4 linked regions of the Oryctolagus cuniculus genome follow. The protein of the gene in region 3 interacts with the protein of the main gene of each other region in a pairwise test. Links are inferred from orthologs where the notes say so. Each region holds a gene or a part of one and is shown on either strand. Other genes may lie near its edges.

Region 1 (6,215 bases), on a different chromosome or scaffold from region 3:
TAAAAATATTCTTCAGTGTCTTTTTCTCCTATGCATTGGGTCTCTGTGTTGAGAAAAGATTGCTTTGGACAAGCTTAAAGAAGCTTAAGTTGTTTCATCTTAACCTATGTCCTATGAGTGAAACTCATTTAAAAAGCAAAATATTAAGATGTAGGCCTGTAATTTGTTGTTAGATGTCTGACAGCAGGATATACTCCTGGCCCAAATACTTTATCTTTTCTCTAAGCATCCTATGCTTTTTTGTTGTTGTTGGCCATCCCCGCTGGCAATCAACTGTGTATGTATTCCAAAGTGTTTTTGTTGTAGTAAGAAGAAATTGGGACTCCAGGCATACTTCCATGTTTCCCTAGGCTAGCAGTTAATCAATGAAGCTTTAGATGTTTAGCACATACTTCTACAAAACATATTCCTTCTTGCTGTAGTTAGTTCACCTTTCTGGTCAAAAATTAGCAAAAGGAAATGACTCCTGTTGTGAAGGTATTTGAAAGATGCCTTCATGAAGAGACAAAGTGTGATGAACTTTCTTTTATAATTTTCTTCAGTACCCAGCAGAAGAGTAACACATCTTTTCACTTCCTTTTTCTGGAATCTATGTTTCTTTTGCACTTTTGTAATAGTGTAAAGAGACAATGAGGTGCTGGAGAAGATACTTCTTGCTTTCTTACCACCTTTGTATATTGGGGGTGCCCTTACTGCGTTAGCCTTTGTTTGCTGTGGTCGCGATGTGTATTATCAAAGATTGGCTGTGGCAGAGTATTTCTTGTGGATTGTTGATATCTGAAGGTCATTACTGCATTTCCCCTTTCGATACTTTTTGATAACAAATTTTTATGTTTTAAAGTGTAACAAAATAGCCTTATCCTACTTCTGTTATGGCCTCTCCAGAATAAATCTCACCTTCCAGATTCAGTGTAATTTCTTTCATGCTTTACTTCTGAAAATATGTTCTTTCCTTAACTAGAGATTCAAAATCATCCTCCTTACATTTTTTCTGTATTTGTGTGTATGTGTATGTTTTAGTAGTATCACCAGAACATTTAAGGGAAGACATACAAATAGGGGTGAAAATGGAGATTGGCTGGTTATTCCTGCCAGATAACCCCAGTGTCCCGCAGGTTTCCCTTTAGAAGCTGTCTGGTGAACGCGAAACTCTTTCAGATACCCAAAGAAGCTAGTGTAGTTTGGGAAGATTTTATAGCTGTGTGGGCAAGCTAATCACCCCTTGGCTTGTTAACATACCTGTGTAAATCTGCAGTTTCCGTGTGTGTGTGTGTGTGTCTGTGTGTCTGTGTGCAAGCTATTTTAAGTGTCTACTCTTTCTCCTTTTAAACTTACTGCTCACCTAGGAACCCTACAGCACTCGCCTGTGGGACCCGCCGGGCCTGCCTCAATTGAACGAGTTCAAGGTACCCATTGTATCTGTGGGTTTCCTTTTGCTTGTGGTGTTCAGGGTGGGGTGATGAGAGGAAAAGAGCTGCTTGGCAGTCATCCTCATGTTCAGAACCCAAAAGGGTAGTATTTTTGGGTTTTTGGTGTTTTTTTTTTTCTTAATTTTTTTTTCCTGTTGAGGCCACAAGCCTAAGATTGACCTCTTCACACAGGGCAGAGAACATGGATGATATGGGCATCTGTCCGAGGCTGTACTCCCTCCCTACTGGTGTCAGGAGGCTTGGATGGAATAGCAGTCTGTAAGGAGACAGCAGGTTCTTGCAGAGCCATGGCAGTATTAACATAGGCCAAGACCCTACCTCTCTTTTGTGACTCTGGTCCTTGAACTTAAGATTGATTAGAAGGAAACCAAGGAGCATAAGGTTCTTCAGGTCACAGTGCTAGTCCTTGGCAGGTTGCTCCCCAGTTTGCTGTGTATACAATTCCATCCATACCTCTGACGTGGCACAGATTCTGCCTACACCCTGCTTCTGTTCTTGAGCTGCAAGAGGATTCTGCTGTGGTGAGGTGTCACCCACTCTAAGGTGTCTGAATTACATTGTCAGTGGTATCAGAGTCGTTTCTTGTTTCCTTATGTGTCCTTCACAGCAGTAACTCCCCATTTGTTTCCCTGTCAGTGCCGATGCAAGACCCCAGAGCAGCTCTACAGCGGGGCTCTTTGCCTGCCAACGTCCCAACTCCTCGAGGTCTCTTAGGAGATGCTCCAAATGACCCACGGGGAGGCACTTTACTTTCTGTAACTGGAGACGTAGAGCCTAGGTAAGTACTAACATAGAAGGAAACGGTTGGAGAATTCAGGATTTTCCTTTGTCTTGAGAACAAAGTCTTTCTGTACAAGTTGTACCTATTTGCCTACTTCAAAAGATAAAGGAAAAGTCCATGGTCCCTGTCCAAGCATTTCTCTTAAGGCAGAACATGTAGTTGTGTGTCCTCTCAAGCTAATCATGCCTATTAAATATATTTTCAGAAGTTGGCAATTCTAGTATACATACCTAAACAGGGAAAACTTGTGGTAATAATAGTATCAATAATAGTACTAACTGACATTAATAGGGATCATATTTCTGACTCTGCTCTGAGAAGTTTTATTAGATCATCTCATTAAATCCACAGAATGACCCTATAAGATGGATAGTATTAGTTCTGTTTTACAGATAAGCTGAGGGTGGCATAGAGAAGTTAAGCAAATGTGCCCAAGATCACACAGCTAACAAGTGATGGAACCTAGATTTGAACCCATATAGTCTGAATTCAAAACCCATGTTCTTCTTCATGTAATGACTGTCCATTAATTCTTCTCTAGTTATGAGTACCACTAATTATCAAATTCTGGAATAAGTGGATTTATGTCTCTACAGCTTTTATGTAATATTTCTTTCAATCTCTAGAGGTTACCTGGGACCACCTCATCAGGGTCCACCCATGCACCACGTCCCTGGTCATGAAAGCCGTGGCCCACCCCCACATGAGATGAGAGGAGGGCCACTAGCTGAACCTAGACCTCTAATGGCAGAGCCAAGAGGACCCATGCTAGATCAGAGGGGTCCACCTTTGGATGGCAGAGGTAAGGAGAGACCACATCACGAAGCTAACTGGTACTCTTGGGTTGATAATGAACCCAGCTGTCTTTGACTCTAACCTGGGATAAAGAATGCTGGCAGAGGGAGCACTGGGGTCATCAAGCATCTTTAAGGTTTATCTGCAAATCTGAGAAACTGGGGAAAAGACAACAATATCATAGTTGGGGGAATTTTACTAGAGGAATAGAGTTCTGTTACTGACAAATTTCTTTACAGGTGGACGAGATCCACGAGGCATAGATGCACGAAGTATGGAGGCCCGAGCCATGGAGGCAAGAGGATTAGATGCACGAAGTATGGAGGCCAGAGCAATGGAAGCCCGTGCCATGGAGGCCCGTGCCATGGAGGCCCGTGCCATGGAGGTCCGTGCTATGGAAGTCCGAGGAATGGAGGCTAGAGGCATGGACACCAGGGGCCCAGTGCCCGGACCTAGAGGACCTCTGCCTAGTGGAATGCCAGGTCCCGCTCCAATGAATATGGCGGTTGGTCCCCAGGGAGCCAGACAGGTATGTGTAATGCTCACTTCTAACAGCTATGTGAAATCTTGATCTATACCACAATTGGTTATTGAGCCTGATTATTACTGCCTTGTGACTTGAACTGTTTCTAAGCTTGCTAGAAAGGGAATGGTGGGCCGGCGCCGCGGCTCAATAGGCTAATCCTCTGCCTGCGGCACCGGCACACCGGATTCTAGTCCCGGTCGGGGCGCCAGATTCTGTCCCGGTTGCCCCTCTTCCAGGCCAGCTCTTTGCTGTGGCCTGGGAGTGCAGTGGAGGATAACCCAAGTGCTTGGGCCCTGCACCCACATGGGAGACCAGGAGAAGCACCTGGCTCCTGCCTTCGGATCAGCGTGGTGTGCCAGCCACAGCGCGCCGGCCACAGCAGCCATTGGAGGGTGAACCAACGGTAAAGGAAGACCTTTCTCTTTGTCTCTCTCTCTCACTGTCCACTCTTCCTGTCAAAAAAAAAGAAAGAAAAAGAGAATGGTGGAATCTCCCTTTATTTTCTGTGTCCCTTACGATAGTAATTTTTCTGGCCACTAGGATTGAAAACCCAAAGAACAACTTTGTCTTACAATATCAGTAGCTATTTGCATTCAGAGCAGAGCCCTTGGAAATTTAGTGGTTATGGGATATTCTTCACTGGGGTGCAAACCAATGTCGTATACAAGGCTTCTTCAAAATAGACTTGCCTGAATCTCACTGCAGGCCCATCAGAATCTATCAGTAGGATCTGGTGCGTGGATGGTTTCAGAAACCTCCCCCAAATGATTCTTTTATTTATTTATTTATTTATTGACAGGCAGAGTGGACAGTGAGAGAGAGAGACAGAGAGAAAGGTCTTCCTTTGCCGTTGGTTCACCCTCCAGTGGCCGCCGCGGCCGGCGCGCTGCAGCTGGCACACCGCGCTGATCCAAAGGCAGGAGCCAGGTGCTTCTCCTGGTCTCCCATGGGGTGCAGGGCCCAAGCACTTGGGCCATCCTCCACTGCACTCCCAGACCACAGCAGAGAGCTGGCCTGGAAGAGGGGCAACCAGGACAGAATCCGGCGCCCCGACTGGGACTAGAACCTGGTGTGCTGGCACCACAGGCGGAGGATTAGCCTATTGAGCTGCGGCGCCGGCCCCCCAAATGATTCTAATGTGCAGCCCTAAGAACCCCTAGGTTAGAGTGTCTAAAGAGCTGTTTGTGGTCATTTAGATAATTGTAGGATTACAGAAATGTGTTATTAATTTATTGTCTTACATAGCCTTAGTGAACAGTAGAGTGCGAAAGACAGTTTCCTAATGATTACCCAAAAAGCTGCGGAAGTGAAGTCTTACCTCTTCTCTCTCTTTTTGGCTCTCCCAAGCTATGTGTCTATGGTAGTCTCTGGTTGCCATCTTTCCTATCTTTATCCCCTGTTGGCTGTGGGAAGGTAGTATGTGTGTATCTTCCCTGAGTTTTTATGTGCTGGCACATTCTTTTCCCTTCAGCCTCTTCTGTTTCCTTTTTCTCCTTCCTCTGTGTAATTGTCTCTTCTTTCATGTGGTTTTTTAAAAGATTTATTTATTTGAAAGTCAGAGTTATACAGAGAGAGGAGAGAGAGGTCTTCCATCCACTGGTTCACTCCCCAATTGGCTGCAACAGCCGGAGAAGGGCTGATCTGAAGCCAAGAGCCAGGAGTTTCCTCCAGGTCTCCCAGGCAGGTGCAGGGGCCCAAGCACTTGGGCCATCTTCTACTGCTTTCCCAGGCTACAACAGAGAGCTGGATTGGAAGTGGAGCAGCCGGGACTTGAACCGGCTCCCATATGGGATGCCGGCACCACAGGCAGCAGCTTTACCTGGCCCCTCATATCTTTTTTATGTCTTCCTTCCTGTGTGTGTGTGAGCAAGAGGAGAGAATGTCAAAGCAGGAATGGAACATGTCAGTCATCCAGTCCCCTCATTTTTTAGGCTTGGAAACTTAGACCCAAGAATCAGGTGACTTGGTCAAATTCACATACCTAAAAAGTACAGGGCAAGAAATAGAACCCACTATTTTTTCACTGCTACTCTGTCCTGTTACTTGCACATTTGTGGGGGAGGGGGGGGTCAGTATGTGTCCACCTACTTCTTGAAATAAAAATACTTTTTTTCTGGTATATATAGAATAAAATTATTCTTTACTTTTTAAGTATTATTATTTCAAAAATGTGTTCATGGGCCTTGATTTTTATTGTTCCTCTGTGGTCAGTAACTTCATAATAGAATTTTTTGTATTCAGCAAATACTTATTTAGCATATACTATATACCAAACACAGATCTAGATACTGGAGGTACAGCAGTGTGAACAGTACAGTCTCTGTTCCAATGGGGATTGCATTCTAGTGGAATTCTGCTGACAATTCTGTGAAGAAAGACACTGAAAATAATGATTGGAAGACCATTTCTGGATAATATCTTGCTTCATTTTCTCTGCTAGTCCTTGAATTCATTACTCATTACCATTAGATTTATGTAGTTTTCATTAGCAGAATCTATAAAGCCAATTAGATCTGAGGTGGAGAAAACAAAAATTTTTATCTTAAAATTTTTTTTAAATTTCTTAATTAATTTATAAATAAGTGAGTATACCTTCATCTAGAAGACATACATATTAAGAACCTTACTATCTTGTACCTTTCTACACTGTGACCCCCCCAGCTCCTGTAGATAATTGCCTTTA
Region 2 (6,215 bases), on a different chromosome or scaffold from region 3:
CTGAAGAAGGGCCACATCACGGGGCTGGGAGGCACCCGGGTTCTGTGAGGCACGCGAGTTGGGAGAGGGGCGCAGGTTAGGCGAGGGTCTCAGGTTCTGCCAGTCAGGAGGAATTGGCCAATCAGCAGGGATCCAGTCAGGTGGAAGTGGCCAGTCAGGTGGGAGAGGCCAATCGGTGGGAAGTGGCCAATCGGGAGGCAGTGGCCAGTCAGGAGGGCCTTGCCAGTCTGGAGGGCCCTGCCATCCCGGTGAGGTCTGCCATCCAGGTGGGGTCTGCCATCCAGGTGGATTCTGCCAGGCCAGTGGGTTTGGCCAGACAACTGGGCCAGGCCAGACAATGGGGTTCGGCCAGATCACAGGATTCTGCCAGATCACTGGGTTTGGCCAGATCACCGGGTTCTGCCAAGCAACTGGACTCTGCCAGGCTGGTGGGGTCTGCCTAGCTGGGGGGCTCTGACGTGCTGGTGCGGTCTGCCTGGTTGTCTGGTTTTGCCAGCCTGATGGGTTCTGCCAAGCCAGTGGGGTCTGCCAGAGCACATTGGGTGGTGCGCCAGGTGGGTTCTGAGTGGTTACTGGAACCGGTGCAGACCTCCAGGTCCCTGCAGACAGCGGGGCCCGTCTCTGATCGCCACTGCTGTTTTCTTCCACATTCAAGTTATTAATCTGCATTATCAGAGAGAAGGAAAGTCCAGGGTCACAAATTGATTCTGTGTCCTCACCCTATCTATTTCAGGAAATCCCCCTAAACCCTCACCTGTAACGACAGCCTGACCCACTAGCCACTGGTCACCCTGAGTCCTGGGCTTGTCTTTCACTGTCTTCCAAGCAGGAGTTGCATCTCCGAACCAGGCCAGGAGCAACCCAGGGGTGGGGCCTGAGGCTTCTTCTCTTCCTATGTCCACCACTCGCTCTGCTTGTACCACCCTGAACAAATCACTCAAGTCACTTCACTTCTCTGGGACTGAGTTTCCTTCTTTGTAAAACTAAGACTATGGTCCCCAACTGGTAAGAGCTGACTTCAAAATTTAATAAGATAACTTGTGTGAACTAGCTCAAGATTTGATACATGGTGGTTACTATCCAAATGTAAACTGAATTACATACAAGTTTGATATTTGCTTCCATATGTTAACTCCCCATCAGTCTATGGACACTCAGAGGACAGAAAAAAAATTCACTTCAACATTATCTACAGCTTAGCTAAACAAGGCAGATCTATATCTATTGATAAATATATATATATATATTTTAGAACAAGTGAACAATTTCAGAGAAGAAAGGAGAGAGCCCAAAGCAAAGTGACGCTAGTGGGGATCTCACCTTGCGGGTCCTCTTGCCCCGTATTATAGTCCGGGACTCCAGATTCTGAGCCTGGGGTCCATCTGCTGATGTCTGTGCAGCTGCACCATCAGATTCAGTGATACCTGGGTTGGTCTCTATGTCTGCCTGGGAATTGGCCATTTTGGCCTGGTTTACATTCTGGGTCTGGCTGTCAGCTGTTGGGACCTTAGTAGTATCATTCCAAGCCTTGAAGGCTGTCTTAGGTCGGTTATTGGCCATCTCATTGACATTGAAAGACTGAGAGAAATTGTAAGTAGCATTTGGGCCTACCTTAGTAGTGGCATTCTGGGCCTTAAAGGCCATCTCAGACTTGTTAGCAGCTAACTCCCCAGTGGCCGCTGCCTGGGAAAAGTCATAAGCAGCATTTGGGCCCTTTGGGGTGCCATTCTGGGACTTAAAGGCTGCCTTAGGCTGAGCACTGGGCATCTCCTTGGCATTATGTGTCTGAGAGAAATCATAGACACCACTTGGGCCCTTTGGGGTGGCACTCTGCACTTTAAAGGCTGTCTTAGGCCTAGCAGCAGCTGCTGAGACCTGAATATCAGCGATCTCATTGGCAGTAGGGGGCTGTGAACTCTGGGGACTAGCATTTGGCCCGCTGGCAGCTGCTGTGGCCTGGTTGGTAGGTGGAGCCTCTGAGATCTGGATCGCCTCCATCAAGGTCTGCATAAGCAAAGTGCTGTCTTCTACAGAGGCCTCCGTCTGCAAACACAGGAAAAACAAATTTAATCTCTGGGGCTCAGGTTGGGAACAGCTGGGAAGGTGCAGGAGGATGGTTGTTGCAAAAACAGGGCTATGGCAGGAACCCAGGGAGCAGGCAGTGGGCAAAGGGAGGCAGCGTGAGTACAAAACATGTGGTGGACTGGTGCAGGGCAGGGGCAAAATGACAATTAGAGCAATGTGAGGAGTGGGCACAAAAGCAAGCAAGGTCTGAATCAGTGGGGTTGGAGCGGAGCTGGTAGGGAGTGCAGCAGGAGCTCAGTTTAGGAGGCGGAGCAAGGAGTTGAGGAGAGTAAGGGGGGGGGGTCGCAGCAAGTCAGGAATGCGGGACAGAGGGAGGGTGGAGGTGGGAGGCTGGGGGAGGGGGTGACAGACTGCTCTGCACTCCAGGCCTATGGAAAAGAAAATGGTTCCTTTACCCAGCCCGCATTCTCTGGGCAGATTGCCCCGACTACTAACAGGGTCTCCCCTTTCTCTAAGCAGGGACTGATGGCTGAAAAGGGATGCTTCTTTCCCCTTAGATAAATGCCGCAAATTTGAAAAATGGCAAAGTCTAGGCACGGAAGAGGGCCAAATCAGATCCAGGTGTTGGGCTGATGAAAGGGGCTGGGGGGGAGGGGAGTGTCGGAGGGGAAATGCTGGGGTGAGGAGCGGAGATCTCACCTGGAAGCCGAGGAGGCCTGCACCACAGTCCATTTTCTGAGCCATGGCTCCTGTCCCTCTGGCAAGAGCAGAGCCTGGGGGTTGAGGGAAAGGAGCTGGGCGTTATACTACACAGGGCAAAATACGAAGAGCCAGATCGGAGCGGAAGGGGAGGGGGCAGGGGTGTGCCGTTTGGTTGTGAAGTGGCTGAGGTGCTGGGTCTGAGGAGGAACGGACCAGAGCGGAGCGGGACACGTGAACGGGCGTCCAGATGGAGATTCTGAATTCCGAGAAGCAACTAACAGGGCAAAAGCTTCAAATCAGGGCTCGGGAGACAGATCAGAGTTCTGAACCCGAGGGTGGGGCGTGGTGGGATTCGCGTTCGGGAAGTTGAATGGAGATTTTTCAGTCAGGAAGAATCTCCGAACAGTACGGGTCAGTCAAGAAATCGTTAAGGACTCTGTGAGGACCTCTGAGAGGAATTGGTCAAGGGTTCAGAGAGCACACAGCGGCTCTGAATCAGAAAGGATCGGGTGGGGGGTGTAAATCGGGGTTCCGGCAGTGGAAGGGGGGATTCAGAAACACGGGGTTAAGGGATGGGGATAAATGGGGGAGAGACCCGCACCGGGGGACAGACGCCCTCTCTGGGAGCTAGCTCTCACCTTGCCTCAGGCCCCAACCCCAACCCCCTCGTTGCCTCCCTTCTTCACGACTGAGAGGATCAGGATTGCTGCGCTTGGCTCTCAGCAGCCGCACTCTCTCCTTGTCTAGGAGAAAATGCCAGCGCGGCAGCTTGGGCGACCCCGCCTCTTCGCCTAATATACCACCCACTACCTCAGGAGGTTACGCGCATGCGCCACGACTGGGCGACCAACTACAAACCCGCCCACTTTCCCAACAAAAGCTTCGTCCGGGAGAGCAGGACACACATGCGCATTGGAACGCGGCCCCGCCCCCTTTGCCAACACACCATCCCACCACCAACCAGGTCGACAGTATACAACGGTTCCTCCTCTTCCTCCACATCCCCTCCCCCAACAGAAGCGCCATGCCTCTTGGTCCCACCCCTTGCCCCGTACACCGGCCCCCTACCTTTTCCGCAATGCGTCTCTGTTCAATCCCTCCTCTATTCAAGGCACCTCCCATCAGGTCGGCCTGCAGTTCCACCCCCTTCCCAGCACAGTTTAGGTCACTATTAAGGAAGTGTCTGTGGAGAATCTCTAATTGCAACAAGTGCTAGGCCCCTGCTGAACTCATCTGCTTTGCAACCCAGGGAAGGAAATGGCCAGAAAATACACACTATTGGAGTCTGTGCCTGCCACGTGACCACATGCACCCCTCACTGGCTTCCAGACTCAGATTAGCTCCTTGCCTGCAGCCCTTTTCTGAAGCTCCAGTCAATGTAATCATGTTGTGTGCATTGTGGGAGAGAAGGACACAGCTTGTACAAGGCGACTTCCAAAAAGTTCGTAACAAACAAAATTGAAAGATAAGCTTATTTTGGTGCCAACGTATTTTTTGAAATACATGCAGGTTTCCCATACTTTGCATTCCCATGAACTTTATTGCAGAACCCACTTACATCACAGCAAGATCTATGCTGAGGCTTATTTTCTTCTTAGAGCAGCCCTAGAAGGTGCGTGTCAGCACCCCCATTTCAAAGACCAAGAAGTTGAGGTGCAGATACATTGCTCAAACTAGAGAAGGCCAGAGAGGCACCAGAAAACAGAAAATGCAAACTTTGGGCCTGGGCTTTCATAACTCCAAAGCCCAAATTATGCACTTTTCATTCCTCCACTTCAGCCCCTGGCCTCCCCTAACCCTAACATCTGTCCCAAAAAAGCAAACTTTGTTTTCTAGGAGGCCTAAGCTCATGTTCTGCATTCAGGAGGGCACAGGATAAAGCCCCCAGCCCAAGGAATTGTTCCTCGGGGCCCACTCTCAGCTCCCAATGTCACACAGGACTCTTTCCTCTGAGTGACACAATGATGTTGTCCCCAAGATTTTCTTGGTGCCTGTTTAAATGGCCAAGACAACCAGGCACTTGTGTGTCTGAACCATGGCAAACTCTGGTTCAGAGTCAATGTTTGCCCTACTTCCTTCCTTGGCTGAGGTTTGGGATCTGGAGCAACTGTGGTATTGAGGAAAGAGGCTGGACTGATTTCAAAATCCCAAGAACAGAGTGCCCAGCCTGTGTGTCACTAGCGTGAGCTCACTCAAGACACTCGATCTCTCTGAGCTTGTTTTCTCAATATGCAGAACAGAAAGCATAGTATGTGTGTCCTACCCAAGGGCACACATGCTCCACTGCTTCCAGAATTGGAGAAACTAAAAAAAAAAAAGTCAGAAAATCATATACAGATGTGAGGAGGCTCAAACTAAACTGATACTTTTCCAAAAACTCAAAGCAGATCTTTGTGCATTTCGCATTCCTTCTTATATGAGGTCCTGCCAGGAGCCTGCATATGAAAGGAAGCTAATACCAGGAAGGACTGCAGCACTTGGTCCCCAAGGGCCAACATCAGTTCTGCTTGGCTGGATGACTTTCCTCATCTGTTGCATAGCAACCTCCCCTGTCAGCTGCCTGTTTTTCCTCAGCACTTCCTCTGTAAAGTGTCTGCAGTGGGACGTGATCAGACTCAGGAAAGGCGGTCTGAAACACCATGTTGTTGCTATCTGCTTCCATAGCTCCATCTCCAGTCCTGACTGGCCCTTGAATTCTAGATCCATAATCCAACTGTCTGCTTTCATTCTCCAATTGGGTATCTCTTAGTATCCTCCAGTTTAACTGATCCCTTCAAATATGTTCTCCTCCCCACCACCTCCTTTAGTTATTCCCTTTTTCCCCTTTAGAATGGAAACTTCTTGGGGAGATGGATTTTTCTTTGCTTCATTGTATCCTCAGCACCAAGAATGATGCCTAGCACACTTTATATGCTCAAAACTATTTGTTTAATGAATGAGTGAACCACATCACCCACCCCACTGCTCAAGCAAGAAGCCTGAGATGCATTTTCCCCTGTGATACAGTCACTCAGTTTCCCTCATTATGTAAATAATGCATATTCATAACTAAAAATTCAAACACCTAAATGTTTCAGAAATTGACATCACTCTAAACCTCAGCACCTTGATAATTGCTAAGATTTTGATGCCATCTTTTCATATATCACTTTGTGCATATGTATGCATGGGATTTTACATCAATGGAATTACACATATGCCACAAATACTTTGAGCAGCATTTTTATGCTTACTACTTTTCACTCTTTTCTTTCACTTCTATCTTCAACTGCCGCACCTGCAGTTTTACTCATTTTTATTGTTGTTGCACGCTCAAAAAGCCATCCTTTATTGTTGTACAAAATGAAGATACCACGTAACTCATATATCTGATTTACTTAAGCACAGTGTACTTCTGATTCATTCTTTTAAATGATTATATGATATTCCATGATAGGAATGAACCAAAATGTATCCAACCATTCCACATGGATGAACACTTAGTTTCT
Region 3 (6,215 bases):
ATACACATGGAAATGTGATATATATACACGAGGGACTACTACTCAGCCAAGAAAAGGATAAAATCTTGCCTTTCACAATAAAATGGATGTAACTGGAGACCATTATACTCAGTGAAATAACCTAGTCCCAAAGACAAATATCATTTATTTTCTCTGATTTGTGTTAACTTATAGAGGACAAAAAGAATGTAATGTATATAAGTGAAAATGACATTTTGAGATTTGGTGATTGTTTGTAGCTCCTGTCTATATTCCTAAGAAACAGTGTTTTTCTCCTTACTACTTGTTGAATTATTTATTTAGTGGAGGATTAAGCTTGTTATTATAAAGTAAATTGAAGGCCGGCTTCACGGCTCACTAGGCTAATCCTCCGCCTTGCGGCGCCGGCACACCGGGTTCTAGTCCCGGTCGGGGCACTGGATTCTGTCCCGGTTGCCTCTCTTCCAGGCCAGCTCTCTGCTGTGGCCAGGGAGTGCAGTGGAGGATGGCCCAAGTCCTTGGGCCCTGCACCCCATGGGAGACCAGGATAAGTACCTGGCTCCTGCCATCGGATCAGCACAGTACGCCGGCCACAGCGCGTAGGCTGCGGCGGCCATTGGAGGGTGAACCAACGGCAAAGGAAGACCTTTCTCTCTGTCTCTCTCTCTCTCACTGTCCACTCTTCCTGTCAAAAATAAATAAATAAATAAAGTAAATTGAAAGCATGTCACTGCAAAAATTAAAAGGAAAAAACAAAGAAGGAGAGAGTCATAGCAAGGGAGGAAAAGAGGGTAGGATGGGAGGTATCATTATGCTCTTAAAACTGCATATATAAGCCGGCGCCGTGGCTCAATAGGCTAATCCTCCACCTTGCGGCGCCGGCACACCGGGTTCTAGTCCCGGTTGGGGCGCCGGATTCTGTCCCGGTTGCCCCTCTTCCAGGCCAGCTCTCTGCTATGGCCAGGGAGTGCAGTGGAGGATGGCCCAGGTGCTTGGGCCCTGCACCCCATGGGAGACCAGGAAAAGCACCTGGCTCCTGGCTCCTGCCAGGATCAGCGCGGTGCGCCGGCTGCAGCGGCGGCCATTGGAGGGTGAACCAGCGGCAAAAGGAAGACCTTTCTCTCTCTGTCTCTCTCTCTCACTGTCCACTCTGCCTGTCAAAAAAAAAAAAAAAAAAAAAAAAACTGCATATATAAAATAGATAAATCTATCCCCTTTATATAAATATTTTACTTAAGAAAAAAAAAGCAAAATGGAAGCCAGAAGAGTATGGGTAAACAAAGGGAAAAATACTTGTAAAAAAGTATATTAACTTATAAATAATTATACTAATGATCTGAACATCCCATTAAATAAATAAAAGAAGGGGGCCACTCAAATACCATGAAGGGGGAAGACAGAGTCCAATGACTATAGGCAAAAAAAAAAAAAAAAAAAAAAAAAAAACACATACTATGTGTTAACTCTTACAAACCAGGTTTAAAAATACTTTACCTTCATCTTTATACTTTATTGTAACTTCATCATTACTCAGAAGTTTTCCTCGGAAAACTCGTTGCATCATTAGCACTAATTCATCATAAGTAATATCTTCATTATGAATGGGAATTCGTCGAATATCCTCCCCAAGTTGAGCTTTGATGATTAGCTTTCCGCTTAGGTCCAACTGTCCATTCATGGTGGATTCCAGGATGTTCTATTTATATTAGTCTAGAGAAAAACTGATAAAAAGACTCTTATTTAATAAAACAATAAAACATCTTAAAATCTGAAAGCACATTTATTGTTGGAATCTAAGAAATGCTGGCTCTTTAAAGAGACTCATTGCTCATGACCATCTTCATGTTAAAATGGTCTAGAGGCAACTTTATTATGTATTTTATATCTACTACTATCTTATCTACATGTTTAACTGCTAACTTCACATTACCATGCAGATTTCTAACATGTCTACAAACAAGTTCCTGATCTTCTACTAAAACTGCATCTCCCAAAGTCTTCCCTAATTCATTTGGTGACAAGTCCTTTCTTCCAGTTGTTCAAGACCAAAAAGAAACACACACACACACACACACACACACACACACGGTTCCTCTCTTTTTCTCACATCCTTGACCTTCAAACTTAGCTTTAAGCTATCTCCAGAACCCAACCACCTCAATCACTATCAAGCTGATCCAAGTCACTATCACCACCTACCTAAATGATTACAAAAGACTTCTAACTGGTCTGCCTGCTTTTTATCTTTGCCTACTTTCACAACCTATTCTTAGCACATCAGATTTATCATGTTATTTATCCTGTTAAAATCTAATGTTGCTCAGCTCAAAACCTTCCAATATATTCCTCACTTCCTACCTGGCCCTACTACTCATCCCCACCACATTCATACTTCAAGCTCTTTTCTCAACTTGAAGCTATACACTTCCTACTCCGCATGCCTTGATCCTTTTCATACAACTCAAATGAATCATGTTCCTGATCAAATGTCAATTTCTCAGAAGTCTTCCCTAACCATCTAATTTAAAACAGGGCACGCACGACATGTGTTAAATTGCTGCTTAGGATACCTGTGTCCCATATTGGAGTACCTGGCTCAAGCCCTGCTACTCTGCTTCTAATCAAGCTTCCCACTAATGAGCCTCAGAGGCAGATGATGGTTCAAGTACTTGAGTCCCTGCCACCCACAAGAAGAGACAAGGACTAAGTTTCCAGCTCCTTGCTTTGGCCTGGACCAGCACCAGCGATACAGACATTTGGTGACTAAACGAGCAAATGGAAGATCATTCTCTCTCTTTATAAAAAAAATTTTAAATTTAAAATAAAAAAAACATTTAAAAATAAAATGAATCCCCCAGGGCAGGCATTTGGTCTAGCAATTGAATGTCAACCTTCCCATATCAGAGTGCCTGGGTTCAAGTCCAAGTTCCATTCCTGATTCCAGTTTCCTGCTAATGTGCACTCTGGGCAGTAGCAAGTGATGGCTCAAGTGGCTGTGTCCCTGTAACCCACATGGGAGACCTGGATTGGGTTTCCAGCTCTTCAGTCTGGTCCATCCCCAGAAGATGCAGACATCTGGAAAGTGAACTAGCAGACAGGAGTTATCCATCTGTCTTCAAATATTTTTTAAAGGCTCCTCTTACCATCTTGGTTTCGTTTTGTTCCAAGCACTTAGCAGTACTATCAGAAATTAAAAATTTATTAATTTTCACTGTTCTTTCTACTCAAAGGTAGGAAGCAAACAGTGCCCAACACATGATAATCATCCCACAATTCTTAAAGAGAGAAACAATTAGCTTCAAACTTCTATTAACTTAAATATCTAAATGTTAACCCACAAAAAAGTGAACACTACAACAGAGCCTCAAATTTTCCAATATAAGAAAGATCTCTTAAGTATTTTGAGAAAGAACAAATCAGTGATACCTGCTAAGCTTTCTTTTTATTTATTTTTATTCTTTTGAAAGGCAGAGAGAAAAACAAGATAGTTAACTCCCATCTGCTGGTTCACTCCACCAAATGCCCACAGTAGATGGGGCTGGGCCAGGCTGAAGCCAGGAGCTAGAACACAACCCAGGTCCCCACATTAGGTGGCAAGGATCCAAGAACTTGAGGCCATTACCTGCTGCCTTACAGGATATACAATATCTGGAAGCCGGATCAGACGCAGAGGTGGGATGCAAGCCCAGGAACTCTGATATAGGATGCGAGTCTCCTAAGTGGCATCTTAACTGCTGTGCCAAACACACACCCTTCCCTTTCTAATGAGACTGCCAGCTACGGTGCTACACAGTCCATAACCCTACCTTATAGAGTGAGTGTTTATGATCAGACTGCATACTTTAAAGACAAAAGACAGTATCAGAGAATTAGCCACTAAATAATAATTTGCCACAGAGATTTTCCCTTTTGGGCTTTAATCTTATTTTGGGGTTATCCAGTGTAATCATCTGAAATTATTTTATAATCTTATATTCAAGTTCTCTTGTAATTTAAATGATTACTAAAGGCTAATATCTCTTCTCAAGGCCAAGATGTTCCTGATGTGTTATCTATAATCACTGAGCATTTCCTTAACACAACTCCTCCCCCACCCCCAAAGTAAATGATCTCTCAAGGCTGTTTAAGGTGACAACCGCCTCTAAAGGGCTCCATTCTACTCCCAATGTCATGCTTTACTACTGGCACCATTTTGTTTCCTCCTCTTAAATGTATCATTTCATTAACACCAACAAACCTCTTTGCAACCATTCCCATGTCCTTGGTGTGTTTATGTATGAAAGCTGCTTTCCAACCAATCAACTCTTCCAATAGTTGAAAAAAGTTTCCATGAATCCTAAATTATCTCATGAATATTCAATATAAATGTTTTAGTATTTAAACGTCCCATGTCTTTTGATCTAACTATTCCTTAAATTAGGGGTGGGGAACAGCTGGCCCACAGGCAGCATAAGGGCAACGAAATCATTTGGTCTGGCCCTGCCAAGAAGGCAGCTGCAGGTGGGACTCGAAACTTAGTAAATCTGTAACAGGTTAATTTTTAGGTGAATAATTCTGTATGGCCTGCAAATGATGTTATAAATATCCAAATGGCCCTTGGCAGAAAAAAGGTTCCCCAACCCTGCCTTACATGAACGTCTCTAGACTCCCCCACCGCCCTCTAGACAGATTACATCTTATTAATAAATCTTTAATGAAGCAGGACATTAAAAATATCACTCTAAAGTCAATTCAGAATACAATAGACTCTGCTCCACTATCTGGATAGATGCCACATTTATCTTAATGCAAAAGAGAAAGTCAGCCTTTTTATCGGCCAATTCTCACAGTGGATTACTCATGATGATTGTAATTAAACTAAAACCTCTATGAACTACCTCTTAACCTATGAGTCAAACCTGACCGCCACATTCAGGAGAAAACGTGCTGAATATCTACTATGAGCTGAGCTCTATAGTTACTTCAACAAGACGGCAAATATCCCATCTTGTCTGCATTGGCAGCCTGAGACCATGATAAAGTCCTTTCAATAAATAAATGTATTTGTTGCCTTCTCTTACCTACAGAACGTATAAACCAGCAACAATGCCTAAAAGGACCAGTGTAAGATGGTATTACCTATTCCCAGCAGCACCTAGAACACAGCCTGACATACGAAAGGAATTTAAAGAACTGTTTTTGTTCCCTGCACAAAAAAATGAGGCATAACAAAGTTCTGATAAAGGGATTGGTAGGCTGTAATAGCAGGTCAGTTCTCAAGTCAGACTTTCACTTCAGTACCTCGTCTTTGCAGAAGACTCCCCCCTTTCAAATAAGTAAAAATCAAATCTTAAAAATTGACTCTGCACATCAGCTACACTACTTTTTTTTAATTTATTTATTTAAAAGTCAGAGTTACACAAAAGGAGAGGCAGAAAGAAAGAGAGAGAGAGAGAGGAGAGAGAAAAATCAATCTTTCATCTGCTGATTCACTCCCCAATTGGCCACAATAGCCAGAGCTGTGCCAGGCAATAGCAGAGCTGGATCAGAAGTGGAGTGGCCAGGACACAAACTGGCACCGATAAGGGATGCCGGCACTGCAGGTGGCAGCTTTACCCACTATGCCACAGCTCTGGTCCCTACACTACTTATTAAGAGTAAATTCCAACACAAAACATAATTGACAGTATGCCCTTTCGATGGGGGAGGGTGTTGCTCAGTTCCAATAGATCTACAAACTTTTAAGTTGTGTATAGTTTCCAACCACCATGTTTGCCTGTAAATTCACTTTCAATGCTTCCCATTGATTGTAAACACCCTGCAGCCAAGAACTAAGCTTCCGGGGCCAGTGCTGTGGCATAGCGGGTAAAGCCACCGCCTGCAGTGCTGGCATCTCATATGGGCGCCGGTCCAAGTCCTGGCTACTCCACTTCTGATCCAGCTCTCTGCTATGCCCTGGGAAAACAGAAGGCGGCCCAAGTGCTTTGACTCCTGCACCTGTGTGAGAGACCCTTAAGAAGTCCTGGCTTTGGATTGGTGCAGCTATGGCAGGAGCGGCCACCTGGGAAGTGAACCAGGGGATGGAAGACCTCTCTTTCTCTTTCTGCCTCTTTCTCTCTCTGCCTCTATAACTCTGCCTTCAAATAAATAAATATTTTTTAAAAAAGAACCAAGCTTCCTTCTCAAGGAAGTCTGTAGTCATCACCTTAAGACAAACACATTAGTGTCACAAAACAAAAATTTTCCCTTTGAGAGGA
Region 4 (6,215 bases), on a different chromosome or scaffold from region 3:
ACTGAGGAGAGAGCAAGACTTTGAGGACTGGGCCCACCCCAGGTACCACAGGAGACCAAGAAGGAGCAGGGGCAGGTGCAAGGACCCCCAGAAAGGGGAGTGTTGGGAGCTGGCTGCATTGGAAAAGTCGCTGTGAGCCAGAGGGAGCTAGCTGAGAGTGATGAGCACCCCCAGTGCCTGGAGGGGCTCTGGCCAGAGCTGCTCGGTGGGTGACAAGGGTGACAGCCCGAACACCTGCTGTCCTGTGGTGCGGGGGCTGTGGTTGTTTTACAGAGAAACCGGCAGACACCGCGGTGGTTGGAGCAGTCAGGTCACACAGCTGTGTGTGGTCAAGCTCAGATCTGAACCCAGCTGTCTGGCCCAGAGCATGCTTCTTTTTTAAACATTTAAAAAAGCTTTACTTAGTTTTATTTGTTTGGAAGCAGAGTGACAGAAAGAGAGAGAGTGACAGAAAGAGAGAAGTACCAGACTTCCACCTGCTTGTTCACTCCCTGGATTCCTGTACCAGCTGGGCTTGGGCCAGGCTGAAACCAGGAGTCCAGAACTCCATCGGGGTCTTTCATGCGGGTGTCAGGGGCCCAAGCACTCGAGCCATCATCTGCTGCTTTCCCACGTGCGCAAACAGGGAGCTGGAACAGAAGCAGAGCCAGGACTTAAACCCAGATATCCAGTATGGGATGTGGCACCTTAACCACTGTGCCCAATCCTGTCCCTAAGTGGTGTTGTAGAATGTATTTTATTGACAGAAATATATACACACACACAGAGGCAGAGAGCGCGCCCCTGTGTGCTGGTTCACTTTCCAAATGTCTCGGGGCCAGGGAGTGGATCTGGGTCTCCCATGTAGGAAGCCGGACTCGAACCCAGGCACTCCGAGAGGCGCTGTGAGCATCCCAGCCAGTGCCTGCCCCGGGGCACACCTTTTAGCCCCCTCGCTGTGCTGTCAGCATTATTTGAACAAGACTGGGATGAAAGTAGTGCATTAAACCCATGGTGTCGCCCACGTGACTTAGCAGAGAAGCGTTGCTGACTTGAAGGAAATAGGGATGAGATGGCTACAAATGCAGTGGAAGTCACGAGGCTGCTATGCACGTGACCCGCGTCAGGGCTGGGGAAGGAGAGATTGGACCCAGAGTCCGCGCCCGTCAGGAGGCCCACCTGCACAGCAGGGGACTTAGCCGATCTGCCGGGGTGGAGCTGACCCGAAATAGCAGAGATGTGGGTGCACTGCCAGTGCTGGGGATTTGAGAAGGGAGGGGTGCTGCTGGGGTTGGGGTGGGAACAGGGGACCCTGTGAGGGCGATGATGGTGTGATGTGGGTGAGCCAAGTGAACAAGCACGCGGCCACCATGAGAACTGCAGGCGTGCTTGGTGGGGCCGTCCGGGGCTCCCGGAGAGGCCTCTGTGGGCAGCCAGGACCAGATACCATGGACGAGGTGGCTTCAGTGGCACGGCCTCCTCCCTCACAGCTGGGGGAGCCGAGGTGATGCCAAGGCGCCGGCAGGACGGCAGGACCGCTGCCTGCTGGGGCCTCTCTTCCTGGCTGCACACAGCTGCCCCCTGCTGCGTCCCCTCCTGCTCTGCCCCCTGGTTCCTCCGTGTGTCTCCTCCCCTTAGCCTGGCCGCCCTGCAGGCCCTGTCTTAACCGAATCACTGCTCCTGAGACCTTGTCTGCAGATCCGGTTGCGTCTCGGGCACTGGGGGTCGGAGCGTCTGTGCGCGCCGCGGCTGCGTCCCTGACCTGTCCTCCCATCTTCCCGCTAGTTTTCAACGAGTACCAGAGGATGACAGGCCGGGACATCGAGAAGAGTATCTGCCGGGAGATGTCTGGGGACCTGGAGCAGGGCATGCTGGCTGTGGGTAGGCGTCTTGTCTGTCTTCCGGGTGGGGGCCGGAGGCTCCCGCAGGGTCTCGGGACCTTGCTAAGTCCAGCGTCCAAGTGGCGGGGACTGCTCCGTGGGGCGCTGTGGCGCGGGATCCCCGGCTGTCCCGGGTAGGCTGCCTTGTTTGTCTCCAGCGCCGCTCTGGGGAAGGCAGCCGCAGCGTGGGCACCAGCGGGAGCCCATCCAGCCACTCTGTGGAGGAAGATGACTCACGTCCTGCCAAGTTCCCTCTAAAAATAACACCCCTGCAGGCAGTCGGGAGATATTTGTGATGGAAACACGGGGAAGATTTTTCCTTGCAGCCGCAAAGCAGGCTGGGCTCCCGGGACAAGGGTGTCTCCCCGCCACGGTTCCGAGGCCCCTGCATGCAGCCCCTCTGGGTCCCCTGCGGGCCTGGTGACGCTGTGCTCCTCTCTTGCAGTGAAGTGTCTCAAGAACACCCCGGCCTTCTTCGCTGAAAGACTCAACAGGGCCATGAGGGTACGTAAGGCCCGGGGTCACGCACTAAAGATGGAGGGCAAGGGGCAGAGCCAAAGCCACACCTGTGTGGGCCCCAGGGCCGGCGCTGCTCACGCTCTCTGGCCAACTCTCTCCAGGGAGCAGGGACCAAGGACCGGACCCTGATCCGCATCATGGTGTCCCGCAGTGAGATCGACCTCCTGGACATCAGGGCCGAGTACAAGCGGATGTACGGCAAGTCGCTGTACCACGACATCTCGGTATGGGTCCTCTTCCTCCCGGGGCCCTGGCCCTCCCCCTCTCCCCGCCACCCCGCTCCTCCGGGAAGGCCCACACGCTGGGCCTCTGTGCCACACGGCTTGCTCTCAGATGGTCTGAGGGTGGGTGGGATGGGCCCTGACCCTGCTGCCGGCCCCACGTGCATCTGCCAGCATCCAGGACACTGCTGCCCAGAAACTGGCTGGGGGCACCTTCCCAGGGGAGCAGAGACGACTCAGGACCTGACCTTGAGAGACCCCTCTCTGACCTGGGCTGGCCCTCATTCATCACTTGTCCCGCAGTTTTACTGCAGTTCAGAGCAAGGGCCCTGGGGTCGGTGTGACCTCAGGCAGTTTCCCTAAACCTCCTTGAACTCCATCCAGCTCCACTGTCTTTTTTTTTTTTTTCTTTTTTTAAAGATGTATTTATTTATTTATTTGAAAGTCAGAGTTACACAGAGAGAGGAGAGGCAGAGAGAGAGAGAGAGAGAGAGGTCTTCCCCAGATGGCTGCAATAGCCAGAGCTGTGCCAATCCAAAGCCAGGAGCTTCTTCCAGGACTCCCACACGGGTGCAGGGACCCAAGGACTTGGGCCATCTTCTGCTTTCCCAGGCCATAGCAGAGAGCTGGATTAGAAGTGAAGCAGCTGGAACTTCAGGCCAGGGCGTAAACCTGTTACGCCACAGCGCCAGGCTCCACCGTCTTTAAGACGAGGAGAAAAATGGGTCGTCCCTTACGAGGGTCGTGACCACTGGATGAGGCCCCTGTGTGCCAGGGCCAGGCTGGGTGGCCTGACAATGAAGTCCTGGCTCACCAGCACGGGGGCCTGATTTCAGACGCGCCAACGCTTGATGATGTTGACCACGTCAAGGAGAGAAGTGAAGAAGCCACAGGCCTTGTCCTCAAAGAGCTCAGTGTGGAAGGAAATGGTTAGAAGTTCGCTGAGCCTGGCCTGCCGCCCCCTTTCCCCTCCATCACACGCAGTGGGGGCAGGGAGGCCTGAGTGATGTCACCACCCTGCATTGACGGGACAGCCTCGCTGCAGCACAGCATAAACGTACTGGGAAGGGAACAGCGTTGGGTAGCCCTTGGCAGTATCTTTTAGGTTTTTTTGTTTGAAAGGCAGCATTACAGAAGCCAGGTTGTGGGGTGACACACAGAGATCTTCCATCCATTGGTTCAATTCCCAGATGGCTGCAATGGCTGGGCTGGGCAGGGCTGGAGCCAGGAGCCCAGGAGCCTATCTGGGTCTCCCATGTGGGTGCAGGGGCCCGAGCACTTGGGCCATCTTCTGCTGCTTTCCCAGGCCATTAAGAGGGAGCTGAATTGGAAGTGCAGCAGCCGGAACACAAACAGGTGCCCCATTATGGGATGCTGGTGCCTCAGGCCTCTTAGGTTGATTGTTGGATTCTCCTGTGGTTCTTTATTTGGCTTTGATTCCTGGGGGCTGGGGAGGCTGGGCTGTACTGTCTGTGGCCCACAGGACTAGCGGGTGGGACGTGTGCGTGGAAGGGCCTGCCTCTCCATGGGAGAAGAGTCAGGAGCCAGCAGGCCCAGTGGCCGTGCCTCCCTTAGCTGACGTCTTCCTTGTTTCTCTGACCAGGGAGACACTTCAGGGGATTACCGGAAGATTCTGCTGAAGATCTGTGGCGGCAATGACTGAGCGGTATCCCGGGGCTCACGGCTGCCCACCTGCCAGCCACAGCGAGGACAGGAAAAGGCCGCAAGAATGTCTCTTTCTAATGAATCCACCCAGCAGCCCCCAGGCGCGCCGTCCACAGAGCCCGAGCCGGGCACCCTGCTGAAGGGCCCGGCTCGGTCCACACTCTCAGGATGCCTCTCCCTCCCCACGTGGCCCCGCAGCCTCTCGCTGCTGGAGTAGATGTGTTCTTTGCTGACTCATGTAGTCATCTCCCGTGCTTGTGCCTGAGCCCCCGTGGCTTTTAGCGGCGAAAGATTCCGTTTCTGTCTGTCTGTCTGTCGTCACACACTCACACAGGTCTGTTTGCTGGGGGCACGTTTCTGGTGGTGGTGGTGGGGGGTGTCCTTTCCTCACAGAGGCGGAAAAGGGAGGACCAGTGAGGGTGATCTTTGTGTCTGGTGAGAATGTGTCATGAGCTTTGTTATTGCCAAACTCACTCCTTTTTAGAAAAAAAAAAGACCAGAAAGTCTTCTGTTGCATTTTCTATGTAACCACGAGGACAAAGCCAGTTCCCTGCCAGTGACGAGACTTCTTGTACTTTGGAATGTGCCTTAAACCTGAATGTCTCTAGCCAAAAACTCTTTTTCCAAATTAAAGTTAGCCAGTTCTGGGACGTTCTGTAAACGTCTCCCTGGTGCCAGCTTGTTTTCCTTTGCTTCACGGCTTCAGGGCTTCCAGCCTCATTAACCAGTGAGAATTCACATAACTTTAGGGAGCAAAGTTTACAGTAAGTGGCTACAAGGACACGGAAGGGAGGCTCCCCAAATGCATGCTGGGACCCGGGTCAGGTGCAGTGATGTCCCCTGGGGGCAGAAGGTGGTCTTTCACCCAGACCAGGAGAAGGGGCTGGGTGGAGAGGGTGTGTGTGACTCCTAGGGTGGAGTTTGCAGCTGGGGGCCCTAGAGGAGGGTGGAGACGCCCCAGAGGCGAGCGCCCAGTGCCTCCCCCAAGGTCGCCTCCGGTCTGAAGGCCCTGGCTCTGGTCCCCATGGTCGGGAGAGTGCAGCAGGGACAGAGTTTCTAGGGATCCCTGAGTGACAGGCAAATGCACAGCTTTTGCCCTGCACATCAGGGGTCTCTACTCACACACACCCTCTTGGCTCTTCTGCGTTGCAAGGTTTAGAAAGGAGAGAATCTGCCCAGGGTCCCGGGAGTGGCTTGTCTGTAGGGCAGGCATCTGCTGGGGGGGCGCTGTCTGACTCCTCGGGGCCCCTAAGGGCGAGAAGAGGGATGGACCCTGAGGGGCTGGAGCAGCTGGGAGCTGGGCACCAGACCTGTGCGGGCACTCGGGTGGAGGGCAGGTCCTGGTCGCCACGTCCGCCTCTGGGTGTCCGTGCCGAGAGCTTCCTGGGCTAGAACAGTCCTGCCCGAGGCCCCTCCCTGCTGATCTCCCGAGAAGGCCCTCCCCTAGGCAGGCCCTCACCTGGGTGCCTGATGGGACCTACCTGATGGAATGGACTGCTGGCCGTTGTCCAGCGTGCCATGAACCCAGGCTGACCGTGGTGGCCTGAGCGTGACAGGGCCTAGATGCTCTGACGTCACCGATTGTTCCGCCATGTTACTTTGCCATGTTGTCTGCACCAGTTCCCTCAACCCAGCGCCCAGCAGGCTTTATCAAGCCTGTAGGTAGATGCATTTACTTCGGTTTGCAAAAAGTTCTTTGCAGGGGCTGGCATTATGGCATAACAGGTTAAACCGCCCCCTGCAACGCCAGCATCCCATATGGGCATGGGTTCAAGTCCCGCCTGCTCCATTTCTGATTCAGCTCCCTGCTAATGCACTTGGGAAAGCAGCAGAAGATGGCCCAAGTGCTTGGGCCTCCATCATGCATATGGGAGACCCAGATGAAGCTCCTGGCTCCTGGCTTCAGCCTGGCCCAGCCCTGGCCTTTGCGGCTATTGGGGGAGTGAACCAA

Evidence for each region. The genes of interacting proteins can lie anywhere in the genome.
Region 1: the proteins of TFG (region 3) and CSTF2 interact in binary tests that used the Homo sapiens proteins (3 or more experiments, as listed by UniProt). The two-hybrid records come from large-scale screens. The link is inferred for Oryctolagus cuniculus from reciprocal best matches to the Homo sapiens genes TFG and CSTF2.
Region 2: the proteins of TFG (region 3) and MAGED1 interact in binary tests that used the Homo sapiens proteins (3 or more experiments, as listed by UniProt). The two-hybrid records come from large-scale screens. The link is inferred for Oryctolagus cuniculus from reciprocal best matches to the Homo sapiens genes TFG and MAGED1.
Region 4: the proteins of TFG (region 3) and ANXA11 interact in binary tests that used the Homo sapiens proteins (3 or more experiments, as listed by UniProt). The two-hybrid records come from large-scale screens. The link is inferred for Oryctolagus cuniculus from reciprocal best matches to the Homo sapiens genes TFG and ANXA11.

The regions. Positions count from the first base shown.
Region 1 is NC_091453.1:91,870,010-91,876,224, reverse strand, and holds part of CSTF2 (cleavage stimulation factor subunit 2), read left to right. Parts: intron 1-1,346; coding exon 1,347-1,406; intron 1,407-2,066; coding exon 2,067-2,208; intron 2,209-2,837; coding exon 2,838-3,013; intron 3,014-3,245; coding exon 3,246-3,535; intron 3,536-6,215. UniProt on the Homo sapiens protein: One of the multiple factors required for polyadenylation and 3'-end cleavage of mammalian pre-mRNAs. This subunit is directly involved in the binding to pre-mRNAs.
Region 2 is NC_091453.1:36,322,010-36,328,224, reverse strand, and holds part of MAGED1 (melanoma-associated antigen D1), read right to left. Parts: intron 3,980-6,215; exon of another isoform or gene 3,796-3,979; intron 3,600-3,795; exon of another isoform or gene 3,366-3,599; intron 2,799-3,365; coding exon 2,725-2,798; intron 2,044-2,724; coding exon 1,321-2,043; intron 664-1,320; coding exon 1-663. UniProt on the Homo sapiens protein: Involved in the apoptotic response after nerve growth factor (NGF) binding in neuronal cells. Inhibits cell cycle progression, and facilitates NGFR-mediated apoptosis. May act as a regulator of the function of DLX family members.
Region 3 is NC_091435.1:55,272,610-55,278,824, reverse strand, and holds part of TFG (protein TFG), read right to left. Parts: intron 1,701-6,215; 5' UTR 1,658-1,700; coding exon 1,474-1,657; intron 1-1,473. UniProt on the Homo sapiens protein: Plays a role in the normal dynamic function of the endoplasmic reticulum (ER) and its associated microtubules. Required for secretory cargo traffic from the endoplasmic reticulum to the Golgi apparatus.
Region 4 is NC_091446.1:70,267,439-70,273,653, forward strand, and holds the end of ANXA11 (annexin A11), read left to right. Parts: intron 1-374; exon of another isoform or gene 375-629; intron 630-1,666; exon of another isoform or gene 1,667-1,764; coding exon 1,765-1,860; exon of another isoform or gene 1,861-2,079; intron 2,080-2,304; coding exon 2,305-2,363; intron 2,364-2,479; coding exon 2,480-2,602; intron 2,603-4,202; coding exon 4,203-4,262; 3' UTR 4,263-4,929; downstream 4,930-6,215. UniProt on the Homo sapiens protein: Binds specifically to calcyclin in a calcium-dependent manner. Required for midbody formation and completion of the terminal phase of cytokinesis.